Drosophila melanogaster: one gene and its partners. The protein of the gene in region 1 purifies or fractionates together with the protein of each later gene. This does not show direct contact. Each region holds a gene or a part of one and is shown in the gene's direction. Other genes may lie near its edges. The genes, in order: esc, Pc, Pcl and pho.

What was found.
Region 2: the proteins of esc (region 1) and Pc purify together in Drosophila melanogaster (affinity purification with western blotting; one study listed by BioGRID). This does not show direct contact.
Region 3: the proteins of esc (region 1) and Pcl purify together in Drosophila melanogaster (affinity purification with western blotting; 4 studies listed by BioGRID, with this or other methods). This does not show direct contact.
Region 4: the proteins of esc (region 1) and pho purify together in Drosophila melanogaster (affinity purification with western blotting; 2 studies listed by BioGRID). This does not show direct contact.

The regions. Positions count from the first base shown.
Region 1 is NT_033779.5:11,826,704-11,831,246, reverse strand, and holds esc (extra sexcombs), read left to right. Parts: upstream 1-1,841; 5' UTR 1,842-2,011; coding exon 2,012-2,071; intron 2,072-2,143; coding exon 2,144-2,277; intron 2,278-2,339; coding exon 2,340-2,511; intron 2,512-2,875; coding exon 2,876-3,787; 3' UTR 3,788-4,043; downstream 4,044-4,543. Other genes in the region: Pde1c (phosphodiesterase 1c), read left to right, coding at 416-970. UniProt on the Drosophila melanogaster protein: Polycomb group (PcG) protein.
Region 2 is NT_037436.4:21,313,090-21,321,583, reverse strand, and holds the start of Pc (polycomb), read left to right. Parts: upstream 1-3,563; 5' UTR 3,564-3,673; coding exon 3,674-3,787; intron 3,788-4,101; coding exon 4,102-5,160; 3' UTR 5,161-6,278; intron 6,279-8,494.
Region 3 is NT_033778.4:18,131,349-18,140,490, forward strand, and holds Pcl (polycomblike), read left to right. Parts: upstream 1-4,077; 5' UTR 4,078-4,575; coding exon 4,576-6,063; intron 6,064-6,122; coding exon 6,123-6,295; intron 6,296-6,350; coding exon 6,351-7,425; intron 7,426-7,492; coding exon 7,493-7,888; 3' UTR 7,889-8,642; downstream 8,643-9,142. Other genes in the region: Hsf (heat shock factor), read right to left, coding at 1-386, 446-1,593, 1,656-1,764, 2,523-2,732. UniProt on the Drosophila melanogaster protein: Polycomb group (PcG) protein.
Region 4 is NC_004353.4:1,176,788-1,184,833, reverse strand, and holds the start of pho (pleiohomeotic), read left to right. Parts: upstream 1-3,205; 5' UTR 3,206-3,244; exon of another isoform or gene 3,245-3,466; intron 3,467-3,552; 5' UTR 3,553-3,695; coding exon 3,696-3,786; intron 3,787-8,046. UniProt on the Drosophila melanogaster protein: Polycomb group (PcG) protein that binds to the 5'-CNGCCATNNNNG-3' sequence found in the regulatory regions of many genes.

The DNA.
Region 1 (4,543 bases):
GTGAACAGTGAAATTCTTGAAGGTTCAACTTTAGAACATGATTGACAGATATTTTATTTAGAGTAAGGCAATCTTCGTGGGAAAAGTCCAATCCACTGCCCCTACTAAACCCAAAAGCTTTATCACAATCTCTCAACTGATGTTCTATTTATATATTCTTTCTTTCTATTGCCAAAACTATTTACCTAAAACCAAAAAAAAAAAAAAACATGAAAACTAAATGAAAACTTTTGCACAAAACACACAAACAATCCGAATGCTATGCAACGTCAAATCAACGTGGTGTCTCGTTGCCCAAAAATTGCCCATTTGCATTTTCGCTGTTACTCACTGCCAACTGCTGGGCGCCGAAAAACTTGACCGCCTTGGCACTCGAAACTGGCGCCCAACGTATGCCGGCCATTTACTTCTGCAGGGAGGGCTGCAATGGGAATTGCAAGAACCTGAACTGCAGTCGCCATAGCCACGGACGCGATGACCAGCAGCAGGACAACAACAACTCCAATAGGAGTTGCAGCCTGCAGGAGGCGTCGCCTGGGGGAGCAGGTGCAGGTGTCACACCAGGCGCTGACAACCAGGACAGCATAGAGAGTCGCACCAAGGGCGTTTCCCAGGCGCCGCAGACCCACAGTGGCCCAACGGGTCCACCATCCAACACCTCGAGCGAAACTATCGCACAACCTGCCCCTAAGCTTCAACCCGCCCTGGAAACCGTAAGGGAATCGGTGATGGAAGAAAGTCCTTCGAAGGATCCCGGCGACAAGGGACCACCGCCGCCCGCCAGCACATCCACATTGACATCCCAAACCACCACCTCCTCCAGCGCAACCGCGGAGCCAAGTGCCAAGGCGGCCGAGAGTCAAGCGGGAAGTGCCGGCAGCAGTGGCAGTTGCAGTAACCCAGCGGCGGTGCATCGGCAACGCCGCCTAAGGACACCCACCTGGGCCAGGTCCATGTCGACGAACAAAACGTACTTGAAATTTGATTTCTATGCTAGACTAACGTTTATCCGTTACGCCTCTTCAGTTCGTTCGATTTGCCTTTATCGTTTCACGTTTGCGTTAACCAACCAACAACCACACAGCTCCAGAATGAACTACTTTCTATATATACACACATAACTCTATGAACTCTGTCTCTCTATCTCTCCTTTATCCAATCTATCCATCTGTCTGCTGACCTCTGTCTGCGATTTCCACTGCTGTAATCTTCTGTCTAGCCTCTGTCCCCTACCCCAAATCTTTTGCTCGCTTCTGTTGTAAATAACTATTTTATCCTAGACTAATCAAAAAAAAAAAAAGAAAAAAGGACACTTGTTTCGTTCCCCAGCCGCGCTCAGCGGGATTGTAAATGTTTCGTTGCCGCGTTTGGACAAAAAATTGCTTACTACGTTTAAATACTCCGTGCAACTATTAAATCAAACTTACATTCATACGTAGTAAGCACTTGAAGGAGTGAGAACTGGAAGATATACTTTAAATGTATTCAAAACTGCTTAAAGTATTTGTATGATACATTTGCATTTCTGAGAAACTATATCTTCCACTTTTGACGCCACTCGCAAGCAGCAACTCTCCTAGTCTTGTCGACCAGTGTAATTTTGTGAATACATGTACAAAGTTTGAATACCGCACATGAATCCATGGCATGTTGATTGTCCTACATTTGTTTGTTTTCTATATTAAAAAACTAGCTTGCGCATGTGTTTTGTCGTTTTTGAACTTTTTTTAACTTTCCCGCCTAAGTGTGTTAAATACCGTTTAATGTTTACCAACACTGGCCAGCCGATCGTGACCAGGTGGCCACGCTGCGCAATGGTAAGACCGTACTGCCTGCAATGCCTGGGTATTTTACGCGATCCGTGACTGGGGTCACACCATTGCCGCCAAAAAAAAACATTTTCATTCGCCTCGTTATTTAAACATTTAAAAAAAGCATTATCGAATAGTTCATTGAAGTCGCGGCCTAATTTGGGTTTCATTTAACCGTACAAACGTGCCGCGCGTTCGAAATGAGCAGTGATAAAGTGAAAAACGGCAACGAGCCCGAGGAGTCGGAGGAATCATGCGGCGTGAGTAGCGAATGACAAATGGCTGTGCGAACCGAGAATTAATGGATCTTTTGGGCCATGTGCCGGCTGCAGGATGAGTCGGCCAGCTATACCACCAACAGCACCACCTCGCGCAGCAAGTCCCCGTCATCCAGCACGCGCAGCAAGCGCCGCGGTCGCCGGAGCACCAAATCGAAGCCAAAAAGTCGCGCCGCCTACAAATACGAGTAAGAATATGCACTTTCTCAGCTGGCCACTGATACTGAACCTACAAATGATTACCATGAAGCACCCACGTGAAGGAGAACCACGGAGCCAACATCTTCGGCGTAGCCTTCAACACGCTGCTGGGCAAGGATGAGCCACAGGTCTTCGCTACGGCGGGCAGCAACCGGGTGACCGTCTACGAGTGCCCTCGACAGGGCGGGATGCAGCTGCTCCACTGCTATGCAGATCCGGATGTGAGTCGCCAGGATACAGAATACACTTTCAAGACCCTATTGATCAGTTGGCTAAAGTTAGGGGCTTCATACATTAGACATCGCATTCAAAGCTGTAGAAAAAGTGGGATCCAGTCAAAGTTTCTATTAAATCATTGCTTTTGTTAATTGTTTTAAAGTAAGAACAATCGTTACAGGCTTTCAGCATGGTTTCACAATATCCAAACATTTATCATTTCTTGTATTAAGTTTGGTTTTTCATAACAGTCAAGTTTTCAAATTAAAGCTTATATTGTTAATTTAGCCGAGAGTAACTGAGAATATGGTCGCAAATGTAATTGTACAAACTCGAAATACATCAACAAATCTTGAATTCCCTTCCCAGCCCGATGAAGTATTTTACACCTGCGCCTGGTCGTACGACCTTAAGACCTCTTCACCTCTCCTGGCCGCTGCTGGATACCGCGGAGTCATCCGGGTTATTGATGTCGAGCAGAATGAGGCGGTGGGCAACTACATTGGCCATGGACAGGCCATTAACGAGCTGAAGTTCCATCCGCACAAGCTACAGCTTTTGCTTTCGGGCAGCAAGGATCACGCGATAAGATTGTGGAACATCCAGAGCCATGTGTGCATTGCCATCCTGGGCGGAGTGGAGGGACATCGCGATGAGGTGCTGTCCATCGACTTTAATATGCGTGGAGATCGCATTGTGTCGAGCGGCATGGATCACTCGCTGAAGCTGTGGTGTCTGAATACGCCCGAGTTCCATCACAAGATCGAACTGTCGAACACTTTCAGCCAGGAGAAGTCAACGCTGCCTTTCCCCACGGTGACCAAGCACTTCCCCGATTTTTCAACGCGGGATATACACAGGAACTATGTGGACTGTGTGCAGTGGTTCGGCAACTTTGTGCTCTCCAAGTCCTGCGAAAATGCCATTGTCTGCTGGAAACCGGGACAACTACATCAGAGCTTCGAGCAGGTGAAGCCGAGCGACTCCTCCTGCACGATAATTGCGGAATTCGAGTACGACGAGTGCGAGATCTGGTTCGTGAGATTCGGCTTCAATCCGTGGCAGAAGGTGATTGCCCTGGGCAATCAGCAGGGCAAGGTGTATGTGTGGGAGCTGGATCCCAGCGATCCCGAGGGCGCACACATGACCACCCTGCACAATTCGCGTAGCGTGGCCACTGTGCGCCAGATAGCCTTCTCTCGCGATGCCAGCGTACTGGTCTACGTGTGCGATGACGCCACCGTGTGGCGATGGAACCGCAGACAAACAACTTCCATCTGATGGCGCAGCTGGGCGCAACCACAAACCAAATCTCACGTGGCCAAAACTTACAACATTTCCCTCAATTAGTTCCTAGTTGGTTAGCATTAAGATATAGAATTACGCTCCTGTGCTGTTCCAAATTATTTCAAGTAAATCCAATTAATAGTTGGATGAGATTTAAATATGTTAAGCCGGTTGCTTTTTAGATGTAAGAACGAATAGTTGTTGCTTACTCTGCTGCCTTTATTTATTGTAAATAAAGTGAGTACATTGTAATTTCACATGTATATAAGCAACATTGAAGATGTATTTTCTGCTTAACCAGAATCCAAACTGCTGCTCTTTAAGCCATGTAAACGTCTTCAAGCTGACTGAGTGTCCCCAGTTGGCAATTCTAATTGCGAAACAAAGCAAAGCTGCGCATAACAAATGGCTTTCAATTGCTACGTCATTTATATGCATTGCTGCAACGCCATCCAGCTCCAATCTGCTGGAAATGCGGCGAATAAGCGCGACGAAATTGAAACTGCCAACGGGCGTGCGAACCGGGATGAGTGGGAAACCAAGCCAGGCCAGGCGGACAGCGATCCCGACCAGCCATAACAGCTCCCAGCAGACTGATTAAGCGAGCAGAGTCCCACAATGATTTGCCATGCCCTAGCTGGATTTTTATCGAACGCTTCTCTCTCGTTTTGATGAAAGTGCAGGCCATTTCCATCATGGGTTTTTTTCTTTTTTGGGGGGTTGTATCTAATGGAAGTTTATGAAAATAGC
Region 2 (8,494 bases), on another chromosome or scaffold:
GTGTGAGTGCGCGCTGCACATACAGTCACACACAGACAGCCATCAATGTCAGCACAACACAACAACGTGGAAAAGGTCGAACGCAGAGATTTATATTTACCGTGCGGGAAAAAATCAATTTGGGGGATTTCAGCATGCCCGCCAAAAATAGAAAATCTCCGGCGATTACCCGAACAATATGTTGCCTATTTAGCGGAGTAAAAAGGTGCACTGCGAGAAAGGATTCCAATTGGTCTTGTCATTTTTAATACGTTTAGGAGGCGAAAAGAGTTTTATTATTTACTGCGGAATAGTAATAACATGTCTCTGTACCGAAAACTAGAAATATATGTATGTAAATGGCACTACTACAAATAATAATATTTAAACGAATTTAGGCGTAACAGCCATAGAGAAAATTTTGAAAAAACGACAGTCTGTTATGAGATTTGGATTAGTTATTTACTCCCCAGTGCCCCGAAGGCGGAGACTTATATTACCAAAAGCAGGAACTGCTCCCCAATTAGGTACACACAGCAGGCCAATGCACACAGACGTACTCTTACTACATAAGCGAGCCCATTCGAATGTGCGTCAATACATGGGCGGGGAAAGGGGCGGCTGGTTAAGTAGGCGGGGTCAGGCTACTGTGCGGGTTTCATGCAGCAGGCAGCGCTACGGATTCGCCCACAATCGCAAGTTTAAGGCCAAGTGAGTTCCACAGCTTGGGCACCACGCTCGAACTTCTGCAACTCGAACCAACATCTGTCAACATGCGAGAGTTCCATTCTGTATTTAAGTTGGCATATCATTAAATTCACGGGTTAGGCTACCAAGTACTTTGCATTGCTTTGATGTTGCTTTTACCGAGAAAGTAGTTTATAAAACGGTAATCCTTTGGTTCGAGTTACAGCATATGGAGCTAGAGTAGTTTCTACTTACAAACTGTGGTACTGCAGTATTCAAAACTCACCGTAAGCGCAATGCCCACTGTGGCGGAAAAGGAACCCAGTCGGAACTCGCCCGTATTGTATTTGACCAGGAAGGAGGTCTTTCCCACGCCCGAATCCCCCAGCAGGATCGTCTTGTGGTTAACCGTATCATCGAAGGGCTGCTGATGGGCGTTGGACGGGGCTGGGTGCATGTCCACTTCATCGTAGCGATACGATCGCCAACCATCGTTATAGTCATCGTCGTAGTCATCCGTTCCGTACGCATACATCTGCATTGCCTCGCGGGAGGGACGATAGCCAGGATATCCGGTGGCCGAGCGCTGAACGGGCGCCATGATAGCATCGTCGTGGTAGTGATGGCTGCCCGTCAAACTCAGCTGGCTGTGGTGGTGGTGGTGATGGTGGTGGGATGGTTGGTGGTGCGAGGATTGGTGGTGATGCGAAGGATTGTGATGTTGTTGCTGCTGCTGTGTCGTTGTCGTCGTTATCGAGGCGGAAACTGAGGCGGGCGCTGCGGGGGGATTGTAGGAGCCATCGCCAAAGGGCCGGCGACGCAGCTCCTCGATCCTGGCCTGGGTGGTCTCCGCATCCTCGAAGACGTCGTCGCTCATGCTGCTGGCGTCGTCGGGATGCGCTGATCCCGCTGGCGGTCCTCCCGCCCCGGGGTCACCTTCGCCGCCTCCCAGTCCCACCGCTGTGCTGGCCATTGGTTTCGATTTTATTGGATTGTGTCTTGGCCAAAAGTTGTGCTGACGCTTTTATCCTGAGCTTTCACTTTCTCATTGGTTTAGATTCGGGATTTGCTCTGAGCTTTATCTAGGCTTTCCCCTAATTAACTCCGAAACTGTCTCTTTTATTTGCGCATATTGAATAGAATTGTGTCACATTATCATCGACCCCTCTTCTGAGGATTTGTATGACCTCCTATTGCGGCGTTCCTTTCTCTTTTCTTTTTATAAACTCTTTTTTTAGGCAAAACGACTGATAAATACAAGCTATTCCATTGTCCTGTTTGCGTTAATATATGGCCGTAATGCTCAATCTACTGGTTAAAAAATAACCGGAAGTTTTCGTTAAGCTGTGTCTCTCTTTTGTTACTTTCTCTTTGCGATTTTGACACTTGGCATTGCTTCTCCCAATATAACTGTAACTGGCTAGCTTTTATCGCCTCTCATAGTTTTGACGTTTTCTCTGAGCTTTCTCTCATCGGCATTTCCGAGTTTTCTCTTTATGACTTTGACATTTACCGTTGTCCGTCGCTCCCGTCCGGTTGTGTGGCACGTTTTTCTGAATGAATCCGCTATTCGGGGCTTTCGCCTGGAGATGGGGTGGTTTGCCGTTGCTATTATTATTTCCTATATGCTATAAGCTTAATATTTTCGCCAGCCTTATCAGTTGGCCAGTTTTCCTAATCGCTATTCGTTAGTTTTTCGCTCCGTACAATTGAACTAGGTATTGGTTTTTCCCCTTTTTTGTTCGGTTGTTTGGTTGCTTGGTGTTTTGTTTGAAGCCACTAATTAAATATCATCTATGTAAATTGTAACTAGCTAAACATATTGACTAATATTTTATAGGTTATGCGCTAATTGGTGCTGTTTTCACTATGAATTAAACATTAATCTATTTATAGGGTTCGCAACAATTTGCTTGGTGTTTTTCTTTATGTTTTGGTTAAAGCTTTTGGTTAATTTCTCGTTTTCGTCGTTAAGTGTGAAGATTCTCCATGCGTTTCGCGTCCCTCGTCGAAAATATTGCGATTGATTTCAAGGGAATGGGTGTTATTTCAGTTGTTGGTCTTGGTGTTGTTGTTATTTCACTATCACAGCATAAATAAAATAATGTCATCGTCGTTGCCGCCCCCGCCACGCGAACCCTCGGCCAACATACAACTGGCATAAAATATCTGCAGTCGGCCACTTCCTTTCACATCCATCCTGAGCTTTCGGCGCTCTTGTGCTTTCTCACACTCTCTCCCGCACTTTCTCTCCCTCTTGAGGATGTGGCATTTGAAGAGTTCGAAGAGGGTAACTAGTTCAGTTGTAATCAAGTTAATTATCAAACTTAATTGAATAGGAATATGGGGCGAAGTATATGTGGCAATTTGTGATACAATAAGTGAAGCAGGACAAAGGAAAATCAAAACTCAATATGGGATGAAAGCAACACAACGATAAACGTTAACGAAAGTATAATATTTCGTTACCTGGAATTCAATTCAACATGCAGTTTAAAAAGAATACTGTACAAAGGATTCATTAAAAATGCGCTTATTAAAATTTGATTAAAAGCTATTTTATATTTAAGCTAATTGGTTTAACTTCTCGCCGGTTTAGTAATTTGTAGAAACGATAAAAGAAAATAGTGTATAAGGCAACAGCGCCAAAAAAATGTTTTCTAAAACATTTATATACCCCATTTATAAATAATAGAAAAATGTCAAGAAATTCTGAAAATATTTTAACAAAACATTTACATTTTAAAAACGCACAATTAGGTGTGTCTAGTCATCAAAGTTTTGAGTCTTTGCTAATTTTGCCAGGAAAGGGTGTGCGACACGGCTACTTGCTAAGATATGATCCCAGTTCTTTGTAGCACGGTAACTCTGCACCTCGCAGCACTATCGATTGTTTACATGAAAATAATCGAGTCGGACGACTATCGACGTACGCAGAATTGTAAACCAGAAGTTAATTGCAAATAAAACGAATAATAAAACGTTCCGAGAAGATTATTAATTAAAAATGACTGGTCGAGGCAAGGGGAGTAAGGGGAAGTTGGGGCGCGACAATGCGACCGACGATCCAGTCGATCTAGTGTACGCGGCTGAGAAAATCATCCAAAAGCGCGTTAAGAAGGTGAGATGAGCGTAAACAAATTCGAAAAAGGCGACCAAAACGGGATGCTCCGCTAAAAATGGCAAATGCAATATGCGCAGCACACGCAGGATATATGTATAGTCCACAAGGTCACATGTCCTTCGACATTTTTTGGCCAGAGGACATCTGCTGCTGCAACCACCATTTGCACGATGCATGTGTGTGTGCGTAGTGCGTTCGTATGTGTGTGTGTGTGTATGTGAGGCGTGTTTTTGTTTCGCTGAATGGAAAATCAATTAGTTGTCTAAGAAAATGCAATCCACCCCCACTCCTTCACTTACTCGATTTTCCAGGGCGTCGTGGAGTACCGTGTCAAGTGGAAGGGCTGGAACCAGCGCTACAACACCTGGGAACCGGAGGTAAACATCCTGGATCGCCGCCTCATCGACATCTACGAACAAACGAACAAATCCTCCGGAACTCCCTCCAAGCGAGGCATTAAGAAGAAGGAGAAAGAACCCGATCCGGAGCCGGAATCCGAGGAGGATGAGTACACCTTCACCGAAAACGATGTGGACACGCATCAAGCCACCACCTCATCGGCTACCCACGATAAGGAGTCGAAGAAGGAGAAGAAGCACCATCACCACCACCACCATCATCACCACATCAAGTCCGAACGCAACAGTGGACGGCGCTCGGAATCTCCGCTGACCCACCATCATCATCACCACCACCACGAGTCCAAGCGTCAGCGCATTGATCACAGCTCCTCCTCGAACAGCAGCTTCACGCACAACTCATTTGTCCCCGAGCCGGACAGCAACTCCTCCAGCTCCGAGGATCAGCCGCTGATCGGCACCAAACGCAAAGCCGAGGTGCTCAAGGAATCGGGCAAGATTGGAGTTACGATTAAGACCTCCCCAGATGGCCCCACTATTAAGCCTCAGCCGACCCAGCAGGTAACTCCCAGCCAGCAGCAGCCCTTCCAGGATCAGCAGCAAGCGGAAAAGATTGCCAGCGAGGCTGCAACGCAGCTGAAATCTGAGCAGCAGGCCACCCCACTGGCCACAGAAGCCATAAACACAACGCCCGCAGAGTCCGGAGCTGAGGAAGAAGAAGTAGCCAACGAGGAAGGCAACCAACAGGCGCCACAGGTTCCTTCCGAGAACAATAACATACCAAAACCGTGCAACAACCTGGCTATCAACCAGAAACAGCCGCTTACTCCTCTTTCGCCGCGTGCCCTTCCGCCGCGCTTCTGGCTGCCGGCCAAATGCAACATATCCAACCGGGTGGTGATCACAGACGTCACCGTAAACCTGGAGACCGTTACCATACGCGAGTGCAAGACGGAGCGCGGGTTTTTTCGTGAGCGCGACATGAAAGGCGATTCGTCGCCAGTAGCTTGAGCTTCGACCCAAACAAATGTCGGGAAAACAAACCGGAAAACTGATACAATTGTAAATAGACAAACCAAAATGCGAGAAAGTTGAGAGAAGAATTATGCAGAGAAATCCACACTAAATGTTGCTAAGCATTTTCTCTTTAGGACTTAACTAATTTATTGTATTTATTTTTAGCGTAGGTTTTAGTTTGTTGTTTTATTACAATGTTTAATGTGCAAGAGTAGTTTAAGCAAGCGCAAGTCGGGTATTTACTAAATGACTTTATATATACATAAATTTTCGCTCATTTTTTTTATCAGCATTGCAATGATTGAATATTTTCCTATTTAAATTAAAAATTTATTTTTCTGCAATATCACTTTTTAAGATTAATCTGGTTGTCATTTAGTGAATAGGCGAAATGCTGCGGCTGCTTAACTTGCCAATGCAATAGATTGTAAAACTTGCAGCGTAGATAAATATGTATGTACATGTTACATATATTTACCACATATTGTATATTTTTTATAACACTTTGAATCTGATTGAAAACAACACAAGACACTCAAATGCTAAGAAAACTCCATGCGAAACCGAAGCAATTGTTGATTACGCTTACAAATATATACAATAGAAGATGCATATATTCGAGTAGTCACCACCACGTTTGCCGAGTTGGCTATCCCAATGTTGTAATTGTTTAATATTATATTTCCTCGCGCCGACTGATTTTACAAAAGAAAACCCCAAAAACATATATACAATTGTAGATTTACAAATATTTTTAGACTTTAGCTAACCAAAATCTCTACGTAATATTTATTTTAACATGTTCTCTTAGCAGTCATTCAAGACTCAAGTGCTGCCTTTATGGGTTCAGAGCGGTGCAGTGCACAGATAATTCCAAATCGAGCCCATAGACTCATTACTTAAATCCTATGTCTATTTCACAATTTTTTTTCACGCTATGAAACAGAAAACTACGTGGGAGCTGCGGGGAATTTACAAACTCCTGCTTATTTCCCATGGGTCCTGTGCGTATGTTTCTATTTGTCTTAGCTCTTTATTGGCTAGTTTTAGTTACGGCGTAAATTCCACACAAAACAGCAATTCAAAGCGTATATTTTAAGCTTTTTAATATAGTTGTAAAGTCCCAAATGAGAAGACTTTACTCGTTGAGTTTTTGTAAGAAACTGATTTTATTTGGAATTATCTTCGGTTTAAATAGGTGACATGAGAATCGCATCTTAAAGTAAATGGCCTACGCAGAGGCCTAAGTAAATAGTCCCCGCCTTATCGAGGTCCCACGCTCGGGCACATCTGCCTATCTTGAGCGGCGAGGACCTTATCTGTGGTCTCCCACTAAGGGACTATTTTAGGAGGCGGGGAACGATCTCAAGTGACTGACTCATGTAGTGTGCACTTAAATTACATGTTTTTGAGCAATGCACCCATGTCGCCTTAGATAACAAAATCCTAAATATAATTTATCGCTCTCGATTCATTTACATAAGATATGAACGGAGCCCAAAATTGTAAGTCTTTAAATATATTCGTGTTCATGTGTGAACATTCTGCCAAAGGGCCAGCAAGCTGAGATGTACATTAGTATATTAGTTGCATTTATAACAGTAGTGGACTGTATTTATTTGATATATGTTCATTTATTTTGCAACTAAGATTTCAATGGGCCTAGTTTTTCTGGCTTTTAATTTTATTGGATTACAATTATGGTTTATATTATTTTTAATTCAACAATTTGTACTCAATTAACTTATTTTAAACATTTTGCTTTTTCTATGTAGAAGTACATTTTCTATTAGTGGACTGTATATTTTTATTTGTTATATTATTTTATTGTTTATTTACTATTGATATTTATAGTACTGGCAACGGACCTGCAAAGGTTATTGCTTGCATTCTTTGTTGCACAGCACATTTCCGTATGAAATATATTATTAATACTATCATTAGTATTAAAGCAATAATTAATCCAGCATGTCCGGAAATATGATGGAAATGTAAATCTTTCAATTTTTGATGGTTCTCTTTCATAAATTTAATTTCATTATTCAATCGTTCAAATTCCTCAGTATGATTTAATATTGATAGTTTCAGCGGATCCCAAATAATCTTCGGCACTCCACTAACTTCTCCTATATAAGGTGTTGATAATAATTCTTCACTTTCGGACTGAATGTTATGGTGGGCAACTAGAATTTTATCGTCGGTTCTTGCCGTACAATATGGCGCAATGCTTAAAACTCCTTGCTGAGGCAAATCAAACAATTCAATTTGAGAGCCAGTACATTGCAGACGGACTTTTGAATTCGCAGGAACCTTAAACAACCAACTACTTTTCTTTTCTAACTCTACCCAGTAACTTTTAGAGTCGACTACTGTTTTATAGATGCAGTTCGCCGCTTTATCTGGCTTTAGAGGCTGAATCTCACATGCATTATCATTCGCTGAATTCCAGGGCCAACTTCCTTTGCATATTCTCTTATTTAGTTGCCATTTCTGACATTGATTTAATGTGGCTTCCGTCATTATGTGATAGGAATCTATCTCAAAATTATAAATTAAATATTCGGACGTTGTATGCACCATTATTATCCGATCTTCATTTCGAATTGGCACCGGAATAAGCCTGAACAATTTGGATGGATGCTGCTAAACAGAGGCACTTTTGCACTAATGATCAATTTATCGTCGATGAATAAACCCCTGGCTGTTAACAGTGTATACACCTCCTTAAGTTCCGTACCTGACCGTTTTCCTGGAATTACTAGGTTCTCCGAAAGACTCTGCTGAATTTTGGCAATTTCTTTTTTAAGCTGATTTGGCCTGAGAATATTTGTATTTAGCCTACCGTGATTAATATCAATCAACAGGCTTATAATGCCTGCTTGAATTTTTTCGCCTTCTTCAATCAATGAGTGTAGCTGTTTCGTAATCATAAAGAATTTTATTGATTCCTTATAAACATAATAATTTTCTTTAAGAACTTCTGTCATGTTCTCAATTCTTATTTGCATACTTCTAAAATTGGAGTTAACATCTTCTGTTGTTCTCTTTAATAGATTAGAAGTTGAATCAACCACAGATGTTTGTTTTTGAATTAGTTTATCAAGGTTGTTCTGGTTATCTAACAAATTCTTCATATTTTCTTCTAATTGCTCTCTATCATCTTCATCCATTATACCAAATAAAATATGATACAAGGAACCCATAAATTCGAAAGGAGCACGCTTGCTTCTAGATCTAGACTGTATCATAAACAATTTATTGTTTTCTTCAAGTTCCGATAACTGACTTTGCATATTATCTAAAACTAGACTACATTGCTCTTCAAAGC
Region 3 (9,142 bases), on another chromosome or scaffold:
TCATCTTGCATGCTTTCCAAGTGCCCGTGGAGTTCGTCACTGCAACAGTAAGAATTAGCCGCTTGATTATGGCTTATCCGACTTGAATTCGTATTCTTCTGGTCTACTAACACTGAGGCCATCCTGAGGAGTTGACTGTTGTTGGTATCGCGGTTGTTTCCGTTCTCAGCGCCACTGTATTTGGCCACAGCCATGCCCTCTTCCTCAGATGCTTGCGCCTTGGCCGCTGCCTTCGATGTCGAGGCCTGATTGGCATCCAGCAGCGTACTGTTGGTGGGCACATCGAAGTTGCTGGCAAACTTGCCGCTGCTCACTGTCGATTGCCCAAATTTTTGTTGCTGGTCCAGTTTGGCTGCCTCTTCCACGCCGTCGGGAAGCAGAGCGTCCTAAAGAGTTAAGAGAAAAGAGTTAGCAACTACCATAAGATGTTTAAAATGTATCTTACTTCAAAAATATCCGTCGGCATATCCTCACTGATGAAGTTAACACTGTACAGATCGTTCGCGGGAGTCATTAGATCCATCAGTCCGGAACTGTTCTCCGGCTCAGACTTTATAATCATTGGCTGGACCATCACATCAGGTTGCGTACTATGCTGGATGCTTGTCCGTTGCGCCTTGGGCGACGAACTATCTACGAGAATATCTCCAGCATCAAGTATAACATCTCCTGCCTGTCGTCGTAGCTTGTTGTTCTCCTTAAGCTGCTGACGCTTCTGCTGCTCCTGCTCCCGCACCATGGGCGTGGTAAGCACATTCTGCTCCTCGTAATAAGGCGGACTGTTTGGCACCTCCTGGACATGAGAATCGGGCGCCTCGGTGACTGTGTAGACATCATGTTGGGCCGGCGATTGACTCACACTTTGGGCCATGGGAGAAGCGGCTCCGCCTACTAGAATATTACCGCCAGCGGTTCCATTTCCCTGGAGCAGCAAGTCCTCCACACTCTGATTCGAATAATCGACGTTGTGCGAGCTAATGCTCATGTTAGATCGCGGACGCTCAACGGCAGGCGGAGAGACGCTCTCTTGGTCATAATGTGAGGCTGCGGTGTAGCCAGCCGGTGATGGATTCATCACCTCATCAAGAAGCTCCTCCCTAAGCTCGTGGATAACCGGTCCGCCGCCACTCTCGCTCTCGGTCTCACTGGTGGTCCGTGCACGATCAATTTCCGGCGTATTGTTGATCATCAGCTGCACGTGGCGTTTCACGCCAGACATGTTGCGCGACGGTTGCACAATGGTAATGAGGAACTGGATCAGTTTGTTGACTATTTGTTGCTGCTTAGCGTGCTTTTGGCGCAGGCTGGCTATCTCGCGCCACAGCACTTCGTTCTCCTGTTTCATGGCGGAGAAGCGCGAATCCAGATTGTCCTGACGACCCCGCATGACTTTCACATCGGTGAGAATCTTCGACATGGCCTCCGGCTTCAGGACACCTTTGTCGTCACCATTTTTGTTGTTCGATATTTTCCTTTTGATTTGGTCAAGTAGAAAAGGCGAGTTGCGCTTAAAAAATGGGTGCGAAAATTCAATCTCGTCGCGATCAAAACGTAGTCCGCCATTGTCAATAGAGGTGATCTTGTGGAATCCATCTGCAAAGCACAAATTTTTTTTAGTTTTCAGTTGATGTTTCAACGATGTTTCATTTACTTACACATATTCAATTGCCTTATGAAGCTGGCCATGTTGTTGTGCTTGTAGTTTAGTGGCAATAGTTCCTTGGCGAATTGCGCTTGATTTTGTATAACGAAACTTTGGCCATCCTGCAAAAATAAAACGAAAAACGGAAGCGATATGAGAGTTGTGCTGATATGTAGTTGCCACAAACCTATTAGCGGTTGGCCGCAAACCAAAACCGATAAGCAACGAAAATAATTAGCTAATTGTAATTATATCTATAGATGCAAAACTATAGTTACGAGCCAAAGCTGGAACTAGTGTTCTTATATAATGTATAAAATGATCGTTTTAAAAAAATTCGTATTTTATAAAATTTGTCAACTTTTTCATTTAAAATTCAAATTTTTGTGAGATTTTTATGCGTGAAACACGCTAAAAATATTGGATTTGAAAATTAGATTATGTTACGCTCATACTCACATATTAATGAGTATATGTTGTCGACAAAAAATGGTAGGCTATGCTTATCAATAAACTCTTCGTTAAGAGTGTGTGGTAACCTAAGTGAGAACCAATTACTCTTATCTTAAATGAAAAGCCAACTGAATGACCAAGGGAAATTATTCGATTGTCAGTTGGAGATGGAAAATTTTCCAGAGTTCACGCACGTACGCATGCAAATGGCAACATCGACAACAACAACAAGATGAGTGTGTGGGGAAGGCAACTTGCATACGTGCGATGCGGCATGGGCAACAACAAAACAGAGAGCGAAACGCTACAAAGAGAGCTTGAGACACCTGCATGGCCAAGTCATTGTTGTTGCCATGCTGATTAGCGGTATGTGGTGGGAGGGGAGTCCCTGGAAAGGTAAATAAACAATATGGCGGCGTAGGCTTACCTTGGTCCAGCAAATCAAGCGATTGGTATCGGCATCGTCCACCAGGCGCCACAATTTGGCCAAAAAGGCCGGCACCCCGCTTCCGATGGCCGCGGCGTCTCCGTAAGAGTGCATTCTCCTGGAAGGCAGCTGCTCCTCCTCGTCTTCTTCCTCTTCCTCCGATTCGTGCTTGAACTGCACGGCTTTAGCGGATGAACGCGACCTGGACATAAAGTGACCAGCAGCCTGGAAAGGAGTACTACTCAATGAATTCACTGCACACCAACACCAACACAAACGCTTTTTTTCCAGTTTACAGTTCACTTTTCCACGCCGCTGTATGTGTGTGTGTTTAAGTGTGTGTATGGGTGCGGGAATCAGTGTGCGTGTCCAGGTACACCATACATATGTAAAATGTACATATGGGTACAATTTTGATGTGAAAGTTGCAGCTCTGATCGAATCGAATGTTTTCGGTTGCAGCCAAGTGCGTCATTCGAGCCACCAACTTGCACAAATGGAGCTCCAGTTCTTCTTCTCCTGCTCAACCTACTTACCTTAACAATTTTGCAGCTCACAAACCTTTCGCGAAGTGAAAAACTCGCGTTTTACTTGTTTAGTTTAGTTATTACACTTCACTTTCTTGGCGTACCGCTTTTGTTTTACACAGTTCTTCGGTTTTTAAGTGCTTTTTCGCGTTTTATTCACAAGTGAAAATTTAATGAAACCTCCGTCAAGTAAAATTGCTTCTGTTCGCAGCGTGACCAATTTGGTAAAAACCTATCGAACTAAAGTTCGCTGCTATATATACCATTGCTAGCTGTCTGCTTGGTCCTCTGGTTTTTATCTAGTATTTTCTGGCGCGCAACTTCGTATTCATATAATTGACCCCAATTACTAGATGATCATTATACTAAAAACTTATCAAATTCTGTTATTTGTTTTTAAAGCTAGTATTGATATGTGTACCCATAACATTAATTGATAGGCAACTGTCGATTTTAATACGGCAGACCAAAGGATAGGGATTTTAGTATTTGGTATTTTCTATTTGATATCTTTAAGATAATTATGAGTTAAAATTAAAATTAGTTGGTTTGATTTTAGATAAGTTGTACATAAAAGCATACAAAGGGCATACTTACTAAAAAAATTAACATTCATTTTGAAATTTCTATAGGATTTACTTTGACAATCAAAAAGTTTTACCTTAATATAAATGTTAGTTTTATTTTTTTTAATTTGATTTAATAATTGTCACTCTACATTTAAAATGTAAATTATGTATGATATTAACGTTTTTGAATCTTTAGGAAATATTTAAATGTATTTTCTAGTATTTTCCAGGACGAGACCGCTGAGTCTTTGCCGGCACAGTGGGGATAATTAAGTAAATTTATGGTATATTTTATACGTTTCGATATATTTAAAAATATAAAAATGTAAAATTGTGGTGACAAATTTCCAATATTTCTTTATTTATTTTAATCAAGTTAATTTTATTACCATAACATACATAAGTTGTGGTAGATTTATATATGAAAATGTAACGAAAAGAACAATTGTTGGATGCGGTCACACTGGTGGGCATATGTTGAAAAATGGCTGACACAAATTAATTTTCAAGTGATTTGTTTTGTGCATTTTCGCTGGTGTTAAAGATGAACTTGGGACAACGACGTTCAAAGCCGATAGCCGAATCAATAAGAGCAAAATGCTAATTTAATGCACGATTCGAAACACACTTAAAGGTGGGTAAATCGGCAACCGAAACTAGAAGTGCCTGTGGTGCGTGTGGAAAAGTACGAATGAGGAAGACACAGAGAATACAAAAGGGCCCGCTCTCCAGTCCGTATGTGTAGCAAAAGTGTGCATGTATGTGTCGGCGGGCAACAACAAATTCGACGAAAAAGGCGCCAGATTAATGAGCTCGTGTTAATCAGCGGGAAACAATCGCAAAATCAATGAAAAAACGGGCCGCGAAAAGCCGGCAAATCGAACTGAAGATCCATATTTTTCACAAAAGACTGCGCACTGGAAAAATCAACGCATCTAGCACGCACACACAGCCGCAATGATGAACAACCATTTTCACTTGCAACACGATCATCCACCGCAGAACGTGGCACATCCGTTCATGCAACAGCCGAGTACCGCTGTCCCATCAGCTCCTCCGGCCACCTACGGCTACTTAGCACAGCCAGCTGGCCAGCAGCCGCAGTGGATGACGACCACCTACCAGATCCTGCCGCCCAGCGTAGGACCTGCCACGGTGGCCAAGCGATACTATGCCACCACTGGGCCGCAGACCACGCATCCCACACATCCCAGCACCATCCAGATCACGAACAGTTTCGCTCAGCAATCAACGCCACCGAAGCAACAGGCGGCAACAAGCTGCAGCCCATTCAAGGCCAACAACATACGAATCATCTCGACGGCGCCAAGTGTATACAGTCTGAATAAGCCGCCACAGGAAGCGCACTCCACATATGCTCCCGTTCAGTCGTACTACTTGCCCAGTGGCGGTGGCCAAACTGCGGGACAAATCAATCTACTGGCGGCCAGCGGAACTGGCAAGCAACTGCAGCCGCCGCCGCTGGTGCCTGTGACCAATTCCACCTCACCGCCCTCCACCGTCGTGTTAGACCGCATAAACATTTGCATCAATAACCACTATACGGAGACGCCCACTTCGCTAAGTTCATCGCTTACCACGGCCCAACAACCTTCGCCCATCATACCGGCCATCCAGCACAAGGCCATCCTGCCCCTCATCGACAGCAGCACGGCGGATAGCAGCAGCTGCAGCAGCAGTTCTGTATCCAGCAGCAGTTATAGTGGTACCGCGACCACCTCAGCAGCAGTTGTGATTGTGGATGAGCCGGATTCTACGACCACAACGCCACAGACACCGCCAACTACGCCGGAGGCCATGAGTTCACCCGGTAAAAGTTCGCCCTCGCCTCCGCTACTAGCCACGCAATCGCTGCTCAAAGGCGTCAACTCAATGAAGCCAAGCTTCAAGACCGTCGAAGCAGCACCGCCAACGCCGCCAACACCTCCATCACCACCACCACCGCCGCCGGCACCACCAGTTGCCGCTCCCTCGCCAGCGGTCACGTATGCGCTTCAGGAGGACGTCTTCATCAAATGCAACGATGGCAGATTTTACCTGGGCACCATTATTGACCAGACAAGCGATCAATATCTTATCCGCTTTGATGACCAGTCGGAGCAATGGTGTGAACCGGATAAGCTGCGCAAGCTAGGTGGCGGTAGCTCGATTACCGCTGGCGGAGGCGGTGCCTCTACCACGGAATCCACGAATACCTCCCCCAGTGGACCCATGTGCGTGGCCTGCAAGCGATCGGATATCGAAGATGTGGTCGAAATTTGCGAGCGCTGCGGACGTGGCTACCATCGTGGTTGCACCGTTGAAATTGTTACTGGCAGTGGAATTTGGAGTTGCAAACGCTGCGCTAAACCCATGAAAATGCAACAGCCTGTCAGCCATAAGATCACAAAACCAGCGGGAATTTGTCGCCAGTTGCCCTACCATGTGAGTATTCTACGAACCCAAGCCAGCGGATTAGATTCTTAATCCGGTTTTACCCACAGGCGGATAAGCTCAGCTGGGATGAGAAGCATCGGGTCAACGAAGAGCAGATCTACTGCTACTGCGGCAAACCGGGAAAATTCGATCACAATATGCTGCAGTGCTGCAAATGTCGGAACTGGTTCCACACCCAATGCATGCAGAACTTCAAGAAGAAGCTGCTGCGCGGCGATATGTACGTATTCAATTGCTTTACTGTGATCTAAACTGAAATGAATCTCATTGTCTAGGTTCTTTGTTTTCTGCTGCACGGTCTGCAACAATGGCATAGAATTCGTTCGTCGTATGCAAATCGAATGGGTGGATGTGCTCCACATTGCACTATACAATCTGCGAAAGCATCAGCACCAGAAGTACCATCACCTGCTAAATGACATTTGGCCCTTCATACTCGAGCAGCGCCACCAGCTGCCTATCTGCGAGAAGTGGCGCACACTGCCCGAAACGGCACTGATGGAGCGTCTCAAGCAAACCCTTAAGGATTACTCTGACAGATTTGTTTGCGGCAGGGAGTTTAAAAGGGCTCCGGCCTTCTATGCACTGAGACACAGTGGCCCGCCACACATTCCCAAGGTATTCCTTGAGCCCCACGAGGAGCTGTCCGATGAGCTGCTCGAAAAAAGATTTAAACTAATGCTCATGCCCGAGGAGCCTGATGAAGGTGCCAACGAGCTTCCGAAAAGAGTTCCCAAAGATGTGTATGAGTTTAATACAGATGAAGATGACCCAGTCGAGACCAGCGAGGACGAAATACCCATCAAACAGATTATTGAGAAGGCCAAAAAGCAGGCCGCTCAGAAGGCCGATAAGCATGATGAGTTGCCACTGAAGCCGGACCTCGCCGACGACAATGCCAACGATGGCGATCCCGGCAAACTACCAGCTCCCATTCCACCTCTGCTGGACGCAAACAGCAGTCGGAAGCGCAAGGCTTTCCGATTGTCCAAACGCTATGACAACAGCCGCAATCACTGTGATCTATCATCCGACGAGAATTCAAGCAGCAGTCGGGGAACCAGTTCGTTGGACCTCATCATACCACCGCCGGTCAACTTTTTGGGACGCAACAATCCATTCCTTATGGCCACTCCCAAAAAGGCGTCGCAGGGACGAAGTATTTCTGTGGGAACTGGAGTCGGAGTAAATGGCATCATAAACAGCATTTTCAAGCTTAAGGGCACCTCCAAGGAGCAGCCGCGCATGGTGCGCACCATCAAGCGAAGACTGAGTGCCAAAGACATTACGATAGGGCCCAATCAGGAAGTGCGCAGACGACGCACTCGCCGCCTGACCACGGCCATTGAGGTAAGAGTTTAACTAACAACAATGTAACTATAATGTTTGAGATGTTTTTTTCGTTTCCACTTAATAGGTCATCAGCACCACCACCATCAATCCCATACCCAGCCACTACCTTCCTATCTATGCCAAAGATCTGCAGCCACCCGCGCCGCCAATGGGAAAGCCGACACATGGGCGCCTGTTGCGCCAGCGACCACAGAAGCAGTCACCCAGCCAAAGCCGCCGGAACTCCACCAGCTCGACGGCAACCAGCAGCAGCAGCAACGGCATTGGAGCCCCAGGACATTCCATGCTGGACTTGAAGCAGTCGGTGAACAAGTACTTTGGTGGCGCTATGAATCGCATAGATGCTGGTGAGCCCTTTGCCATTCGGGCCAAGCGGCGCATGGGAAATGGACAGGTCCAGTACCTGGTGGAGTGGGGCGGAGATACAGCGACAACGGCGATTGGATTGCTTGGAAATTGAACCCTTTGGCATACCGACTCATTATGAATTTTATATTCTTCATTTCCATTATCATTTCTTTTCGTTATTATGTATTAATGAACGCTGCCAACTACGGGCCTCTTTATTTGTTAATGTTTAAAAGTTTATTACCAACCCACTGCCAAAATAGAAAAAGATTGTTCAAAATATTGGTTCAGCATTAAAGCGATAAAATGTTAAATTGTAAAAAAAAAAAACGAAAAAAAAGCAAAAAGCAACTGAATACAGGTTATAATTGTGCAATGGCAGTTAAGTGTTGCAGCAGAACATAAATAAGTTTTCACAAAATTGGTAAAAGTATTACAAGATTAATCTGGAAGCCTATGTAAAATTCGCTGATGAATGAAAACGTATTAAATAATGAGAACAATTCAGTTAAGTTCAGTACTGTACTTTAGCGATACGCCACGCCCATGTATGTTTTTGAAAAATATACCTTCAAATGGGAAAACTCACAAATCATGTCATGCATACAAAAAAAAAACAATTGATATACATACATACACACAAATTTAATAAAATGTAGGACTAGTTCAATAATTTTCACCCATAGTCTAGGCAAAACTACACAATAATGAATTAAGCCAGTACGTTTTATGTTTAACTATTAAATGCTACGAAAAATCAAAATTGAGTTGAAAGCAAACTAATTCTCAAGCCAAGTAAATGTTTGGCCAAACCAGATCGAAATATGTTTAATGAAGTATATAATGCCCAAATAAATGTTTCCGAAATGTCAAATCTTTTAAGATTTTACTCAGGACACGCCAGTAGGCGCCCAAAGTGACACTTCGCTTTGAAGCTTGTCAGGCACCGACGCCTCACACCGCTTCATTAGGTACTCGATCGCCAGATAGGGCACATGCACCAGACGTTCAAAACGGGAAAAAGAAAAAAAAAATTATCCTCAGCCATCCTTGAATGTGGTCTATTTCGTAAAAACAAAAACACAAAAAAAAAACTTAAAAAATTCTTCAATCTCTGTAGTGCCGATTTCCATCGAGAACGAAAAGAAGTACTCAAGCACTTCTCGGAGTGTCGACTTGCAGCCTCATCGCTTTATTCTCTGATTTAGGTAAGTTCGCACAGTGGGGAATTACAAAGATGGGATTCGGTTTTCGGAGCATACGCTAATATCTGTGCAGTGCCAAAAAATCATTTTCTAAAAGTCTACGCTCATTTTTAAAAGAAAAAAAAACTGCATTCCTAATTTTGGATTGTGTTTTATGAGAC
Region 4 (8,046 bases), on another chromosome or scaffold:
CTCTAGGAATTTTTTCTTGTTATAGACCTAATCCAACGTTGAGCCCTCGTGATATTGATAAATGGGAACATCAAATATCTATAAGTTGTCAAAAGCACATTATATTTATAGAATGTCCTTAAAATTATTAATATTTAAACGTATGGTTCTATATTGCACCCGCAAATCTGACTTGTGTGCAAAACGTTAAGAAGTGAGTACGTAATACACACATATGTGTACAATCCCGAGAAAAAACGTTGTATTTTTTTATTTTTTAGCGTTTCTCTTTACATGAAAATTTTTTTTACGCTCTAGTTCCAACTCTACACCTCCCGCGCAACCAAACGAAGGGCGCTGCCGAATATCGTATGGCTCGATTTGCGAGAGGATAGATGACATATAAGAAACAATAAAATTCAAAGATCCATATAAATAATAGTAAGATATATTTAAAAAATCTGAATTGGTCGGCTTAATAGCTGCAGGACTAGAATAAAGTCTTTTATAGTCAGAACATTATGCTCTGTAGGGGTCTAGTAGGATCTACAATGATTTAAATTATATATAAATGCCTAATAAATCTGCTTGGAACAGAGAACTTTCCGACTAAAAACTGTTCCGAACATCGTTCTACGGTTAGCTAACCGTTGGGAAAGTAAATTAATTAACTATACTCGAATTAGGAGGTAATATAAGGTTTGAATAAATTAAGGCGTCGTAAGGCAAACAGTTTTATAAGCCGATCCATTGCGGTCCAAGTGAACTACATATTGTGGACTTCAAACAGACGATCCATACTAAGGATCGAACGGACTAGCGAAATTAATAAGGTTTCGGTTATATAAAGACCATCAAATTCCTTTGACCACCTTTTTATAAAACCAAGCATACCCCTATTGACAATAGATGAAATATGGTTTGAAAATTTAAGCTTAAGGTCCAGAACACCATGTGTTATTCTGTCCAAAAAGCACCCACCAATAGTATAAGTCACGTGTATTAGGTTGACTCGACAAAAGGTCATATATTTACACTTGGAGCCATTAATGTTTAGTTTATTTTCACGCCACTTTATTTGAAATCTATTTAGATCGGATTGTAGTACCAAATACCATGACTGGCGTTGTGGAAGCCATGGAGAAATAGTATGTTTTTAACTCCCGAATATATATATAGTATATAGTGACGTAATTAAATAATTAGAATTGTCCACAAAAAAAAAAGATCAATATCCCAAGCGGGCAATCTCGCACCGGAAATAATATAAACAAATGGGCAATATGTGACATATTCACATAATCAGCACTTTCAGAAGAAATACAGAGTGGCGATTCCACGCCATGTACGCTAGCTGTATACAATAAATATCTTAAGCGGGCGATCCCGCTCCAGAAATAATGTAAACATAGGCAGTATAAGAAAGATTTTTGTCACTAACATATAGTCTTAAGCTGAGATCAAAAGAATAAAGACGTGAAAACCATCTCTATGATAATTTTTTATTTCTTAGCGTTGACCTTAGTCAACTGAAATTAGTTAGACTCAAATATATAACAATTATTTTACTGTATGCATGTATGCATATAGTAATGCATATTAGTTTACTTTTCCATGAAAATGCATTAATTATATATGTAATTGTATTTGTTGTATAGAAGCAATTACTGGACCACCGGCGGATGAAAAGGTGGACGACAATACGCAGCCTCTTTATTGAAGCAATATTAAAAAAGAAAATAATAAATTTAATAGATGAATTCTTTTTTGTTTTTATTTAAAACGTCGATGTTTTTTCAACATATTTCGCCAAAAACATCGATGTCCGCCATCATCGATATTTCTCAATCTCTATTAACAGAGTCAAATCAAAGACATTAGAATAACATGATTGGTAACGACCATACGTTGGTTTAGCACAATGCAGTCACTTTTTTGGTGACGGTCAATATTGACATTCTCTGGTAATCGAATTCGTAAGAATTTTACTTTTGTCTGGGCGAAATTAAAAGTAAATGCCTGTTATACATACATATATCTATCAAATCAGATCTTATTAACTAAGGAAAAAATATTTTATTCAGTGGTCTATCGATGTTAATTCCAAATCACCACAAGATCATTCTGCCAATGCGTTATTATACAAAAAATGTATTTCCGACCCCACCTCAGATTTGACAAACAACATTTTGCCGTCAGCAACAAATATTTTCGATTTAGCAAGGGGATTAGCAAAGGAGAAGTACGTTCCCAATATTTATTGCGAAGGCTGCCATACTGTTGGTAAAACGAAACAGGCAGGTAAAAATACTTATAAAATATAAAAGAATTCATTAATGAATTTCAGGAATGGCCAAAAGAGTTGTATGTATTTAATTAAATGTATTTTTATTACTTAAATGTCAAAGTGCAATAACAAAGTAATTGCGAACGTCGGACTTAAAACTGTAAAAAAAGGTGTCCGCTCTATGGTCTGGAAAACAGCTTGAACAGCTGTTTAATGTTTACAAAACATTCCGATAGCAAAAATTTTGCGAAAACCAAAACAGCTAAAAACGAAATCAAAAGATTTTGCCCAAATCGAAATAAAAAATAAAAATTACAGGAGCATGATTGACTATAAATTATCGCTGTGCATGCTTGGCATCTCTTACATCAGCACAAAACACAAGGATTGGCAGAATTGGCGCTTTTTCAAATCTACAGCAGAACACAAGATCAGTAGAGATGTTGAACCATCGGTGCCTGATCCCACGCAGTAGAAACTTTCCCCTTTCGTTTAACAGTTGCCTCTTTTAAATCTGTTCCAGTCTCATGTTAAGCTTTGTTAACGATGGGAAATTGGTTATAGCATGATTGCACTCGTTTTCCGAAATGAGGATGATTCCATTTCCACATTTTCGAAATGTATTTGTGGACCGTATCATATGAACTTTATTTATCACTAAAACTAATAGAAAAATATACACATTCTTTGATAGGATTTTCTTTAAGCATATGAAAAATTTAATTCATATCGGTTTACAAATTTGTAGTATTATTTAATTTTATGTTTTGCATGTATATTTCAAGCTATACCGATATAATTACAGAGATTACAGCCAGCTTGTTCTATATTTAGAAGCTAGTCGACGTGGAATCAAGATATATTTTGCGTTGTAAAAAAATACTAAAGTTTAGTATGTTGCAAAAAACCCAAATATTTAGGCATCGAATACCCATGCCAAACAAGCAGAATAACCTTTTCAATATTTTGAGTCATTTGGTATCGCGTTTTATAAAAATTACTTGAATTCTTTTGTTTTCCTCGGCTTTTAGTGAAACAATTCGACTATCATTAAATTTATGTGGCGTTTAATTAATCTTTCGTATTATTTCAATCAGAATTTTTTTAACATATTCACTACATTTTCTTAGAGAACCGTTTGTCATATTTAATGTATATTATGTTCCCTACTTAAATATGACAATTATTAATTCTGTGTGTGTACGTATCAATCATCCGTGATATTATATTCATGTCTTATATTGCCTACATATGGAATAATGGCAGTAAAAATGCTGTTCTTTCAGATACATCAAATAGCCTCAGGGAATGCAACGCTCAGGAAACATACAAATCTTACCTAACACATGTGCCTACAATTATCCTGGCATTTGAAATGCTTTAATACTAACTTTAAACTCATGCGTATGTGGATTATAGTATTGTAAATATGGCATACGAACGTTTTGGAATTATTCTTCAAAGTGAACAGTACGATGAAGATATAGGCAACACAAAAGTCAATCAGAAAATGAATGAAGGTAAGTTCGGATTTTACAGGCATGTCTATGTTTTGAAAATCGAATTATAGCAACAAAGCACTTTTTTATAAAGCGTAACAACAAAATACTGTTTAATGAAGCATAAAATATAAACATATTTACTTGTTATACCCGTTAGTCCTAGAGTAAAAGGGTATACTAGATTCGTTGAAAAGTATGTAGAAGGAATCGACCACAGTATTCTTACTCATGATCACTAGCGCCAAGTCGATCTGCCCGTATAAACGTTGAGATCTCGGGAACTAAATAAAAGATGTGAAAGTTAAGATAAAGCATGCACATTCTAGAGAAAATTACCACTTCTACTCCAACGCCCACAAACCTTCAAAAACTGTCAAAACTAAAATTTTAATATTGTTTAAGCCGCCATACTAACATTTTTAAGCCAAGCCCAGATCGTTAATGTCAGCTTTTAAGCGCCTTGGCATCGAAGAAATGAAGTATCATCAGATTGTTCAGTAATATGTTAGGTTAAGGTTTTTCCAAAGGAGGCAAGACTCGGAAGACTATCACTCAAAACACAGTGTTGACGGGTGTGAGGCTAATCCTCATCTCTCGTGAGTTACCTGTAATGGCGGAGACGCCGGGTACCCATGTAAGCGTTAGTTTGGGTGTGCTGTAGACGTTCAAGTTCAATAATGGTGTTGCTCACAGGCACGCTCTTGCTAGTGTTCGCTTGAAATGTTAATATGCCGCATGACTGTCCACAATCAAAGCTGTTATTCTGATTCCCATCTGACTCACATCGTTCTTTAATTGCTAAACTGCAGAGTCCTTATACCCTTGTGAGCGTTAGTTTAGTGTGCCGTAGATCTCCCAGTTCCATGATGGTGTTGCGCACAAGACCCGTTACCTTTTCGCTTTTGGCTTAAAGATTTAAAGAATATTATATGGATATGTACGGATTTGCGGATATCCTAATGTGCTTTTGAAGACATAGAATTTTAATTTAAAGTATTTTTAATTAGCTGCGCAAATAATTTTGTATAGAGAATATAGTAGCTAATTTGGTTGAAAATTTATCACGCTATATAAGTATTCTTAAACTCGCAAAGTAAAAGGGGTTTCGAAAAACAATGGCAACCGAAGGAAGCGTTCCCGACCCTATAAAGTATATATATTTTTGATCCAGTGAACTACCCAAGTCGAACTGGATATGTCTGGCAGTATGAATGTCGAGATCTCAGGAACTAAATAAGCTAGAAAGTTGAGATTAAGCATGCAGATTTCAGAGACAAATCCGCTCAAGACTGCTATTTGATTATTTTTCTCCACTAGTTGCGTAATGGGTATCTGATAGTCGGAGAACTCGAACATTTTCTCTCCTTTGTTCATAGATTTAAATATCAACATGCTGTGCATGCTTGCTTACACTGATATAATCGCCTTTACCCGAAATTGTCTGCCTGTACTTGTTCAATATTTATAAAGTATTAATTACGTTATAAAGTATATACATTATATACACTTTTTGTCCGTTTCTAGGTAAACTAGTTTCCAAATTTGAAAGAATTATTTCTTTAGAGGATCAATATACAGCTGAATTCATTGAAATATTTTCCCTGATCCCTCCCTCTCTTTCGTGAGCGACTTTTATTTTACTTTTGTAGAATGGACATTTACTTTTTTATGGTGTTTATTAGAATAGAGTTGTCTGATGTTGTTTAACGAAATAAAAATTAAAAAGTGAATTTGATTAAGTTGATTTGCATATTTAAAAGGACAATGCAATAAATAAAATTTTAAAGAGCCCAGAAACGAGGAAATAAATAAAACAACAAAGTATAAGTGTAATATTAGTAAGATCTAATTATGTGTTAAAAAAGTTATAATTGATTGCTGTAAGAGCGGCAGAGAGTAAAGATTACAGATAATAGGATTACGTCTATTATAGTCAGAACATAACATGAACATACAGAATGATTTAAGATTAAGGGTATGTAGTTTCTAGTGAATATACTTGGAACAGAGAAGTTTCGCCGAAAAACCAGGTCGGGACTACTCGTATCGTACTACTCGTAAACTTACTAATAAAGACTGTTCCAAGCATCGTTCTACGGTTAGCTAGGGAGGGTAACTGAATTAGAATTAGTCTACTGGAATGAGGAATAGGACCCACAAGGCAAACATTAAGAATTTTTTTTGGACCCATTCAATGATGCCCAGTCTCTGCCTAGCCTTCGTTGCATACGGACGATCGCGATAGTCTAGTCTGTTTGTTGTAACACATCAACAACTCTTCCAATCGTACTGTGCACGCGCACAATTTCTATTTCTATCCAATGCACAGCAGTGGTGACAGACAATTACGTTACTTATCATAGATAAGCTCAACCAAGCCGACGCTTTGTAAGCCCCTCAATTGTTATCTCTCGAGCTTGCGAAGTTGACAACTAGTAGTAACACCAATGTTACCAACACCATAACCACCCAAGCTAGCTGTTCGCAGGCAAGAAGTGCTGCAATGTCTGAGATGCCATATTTTTGGGCGTTCCAAAAACTATTGTCTCCGGGGTTCAATCTGTGGCAAGCGTGCTGGGCCCCACGCAACTGGCTCTACGCTATGCACGAGGGATAATTATTTGTGTATCAACTGCGGTGGTGATCATGCTGTAACTGACAAAAACTGTCCTGTCAGAATTGGAAATAACCCAAGGCTCCCTACTTTTGTTGCTCATGGCAACACTGTCAGCTCTGAAAAAGGTGAAAGCTTTACTCACGGATTCATTCCGGCTGAGGCCATCAGAAGCAATATTTCAACCGCCGATATTGTACAGGCCAAAGGCCCTAAATTTGGTTCACTTGCGACTCACCAACACCACAGTGATCCAAACTCACCACAAGACTTAGGCTTTGGAAAAAAGTTTCGCTGGAAAGCGCCATCCAGGATATAAACTCGAGAATGGACAAAATCTTCAAACTAATTGAGGAGACTGTAGAATCAAAAAAGGTTTTTAGAGAACTGGTTCAGATCTTCATATCACGGACGTCAAAATGACCCAACCAATAATAAAAATCGGATTGTGGAACGCACGAGAACTAGCTAGAAACTCTGAGGAGCTTCAGCTTTTCCTTAGGATGCAAAATATTGATATCATGCTTGCCACCGAAACAAACGTGCGGGAAGGACAGCGTATCTCTCTACGTGGTTACTCCACCTACGACGCCAGTGGAAACAGCAGAGGTGGAGCCACTGTCATAGTGCACTCTTCCTTGAATCATTGTCCCCAACCCCCAATCTCAACCAACGACCGGCAGGTAGCGAGCGTGCAGCTGCAGACCTCAGAGGGAACAGTTACTTACCCACCCAGCGAGCGGTTGATAAAAGCTTATATTGAGTAACTTTTTGTAACACTTGGTGGCATATTTATGCAGGTGGAGACTACAATGCAAAACATCATTGGTGGGGAATCTCAAGAGCCTGCGCCAGAGGCTTGAGGCAAACAAGATGCGTAACGCCATACGATTTTTTGGCACATGGCTCTAGAGGTGGCTCCAGGCTCTCTCGAATTTTTGTTAGAGAGCGAGAGAGCGAAGAGCGCTACAGCGAACAGCTCTTTTCAACGCACAAAGTGATAGCAGACATCTGTATGTGTGCACACTATGCTCATGCATTGTAAATTTGACAAAATATGCCCTTCACCTCAGAAGTTCTTAGACGTTATATCTATATTATTTTTGATCAAATGGCACCATGCGAAAAATTCTTGTTTTGCATTGCCTTAACGTTATTATTATTTGAAAATAGATTAGAAATAGCCAAATCTATGTACATATTATCACAAAAATAAATTTCAAAAATGACTTTATATAAGAATATTTGTCATTAGAGTATTCATCTTGCGGCGTGTGAAAAATTAATAAGGCAATGATTGTTGAGTGCTTGTGTCCGCACTTCGTGCCTCAAGATATGAACAAAGCAAAGACACTATTTAGTATATTTATTAAATCATTTGACTTAATATGATGTAACATTAACATTAATAGTGTTTCAAAAAAATATTTCGCTTTTAAAAAATTGTCAGATGAGAGACAAATTAGAATTAAACATAAATATGTGTAAACGGTAGCTAATTCGAGCGGCGATTTTAACAAACAAATTTAAAAAGCTTTAAAATTATAATAGTCAGGGCGCGAATTTTTAAAAATTTTTTTATTTTATCATATTGCTAGGAAATTGGCAAAAACTACCCTAATATGTACCACGTAAATTCGTTTCTTCGATCAGAATTGATTTCG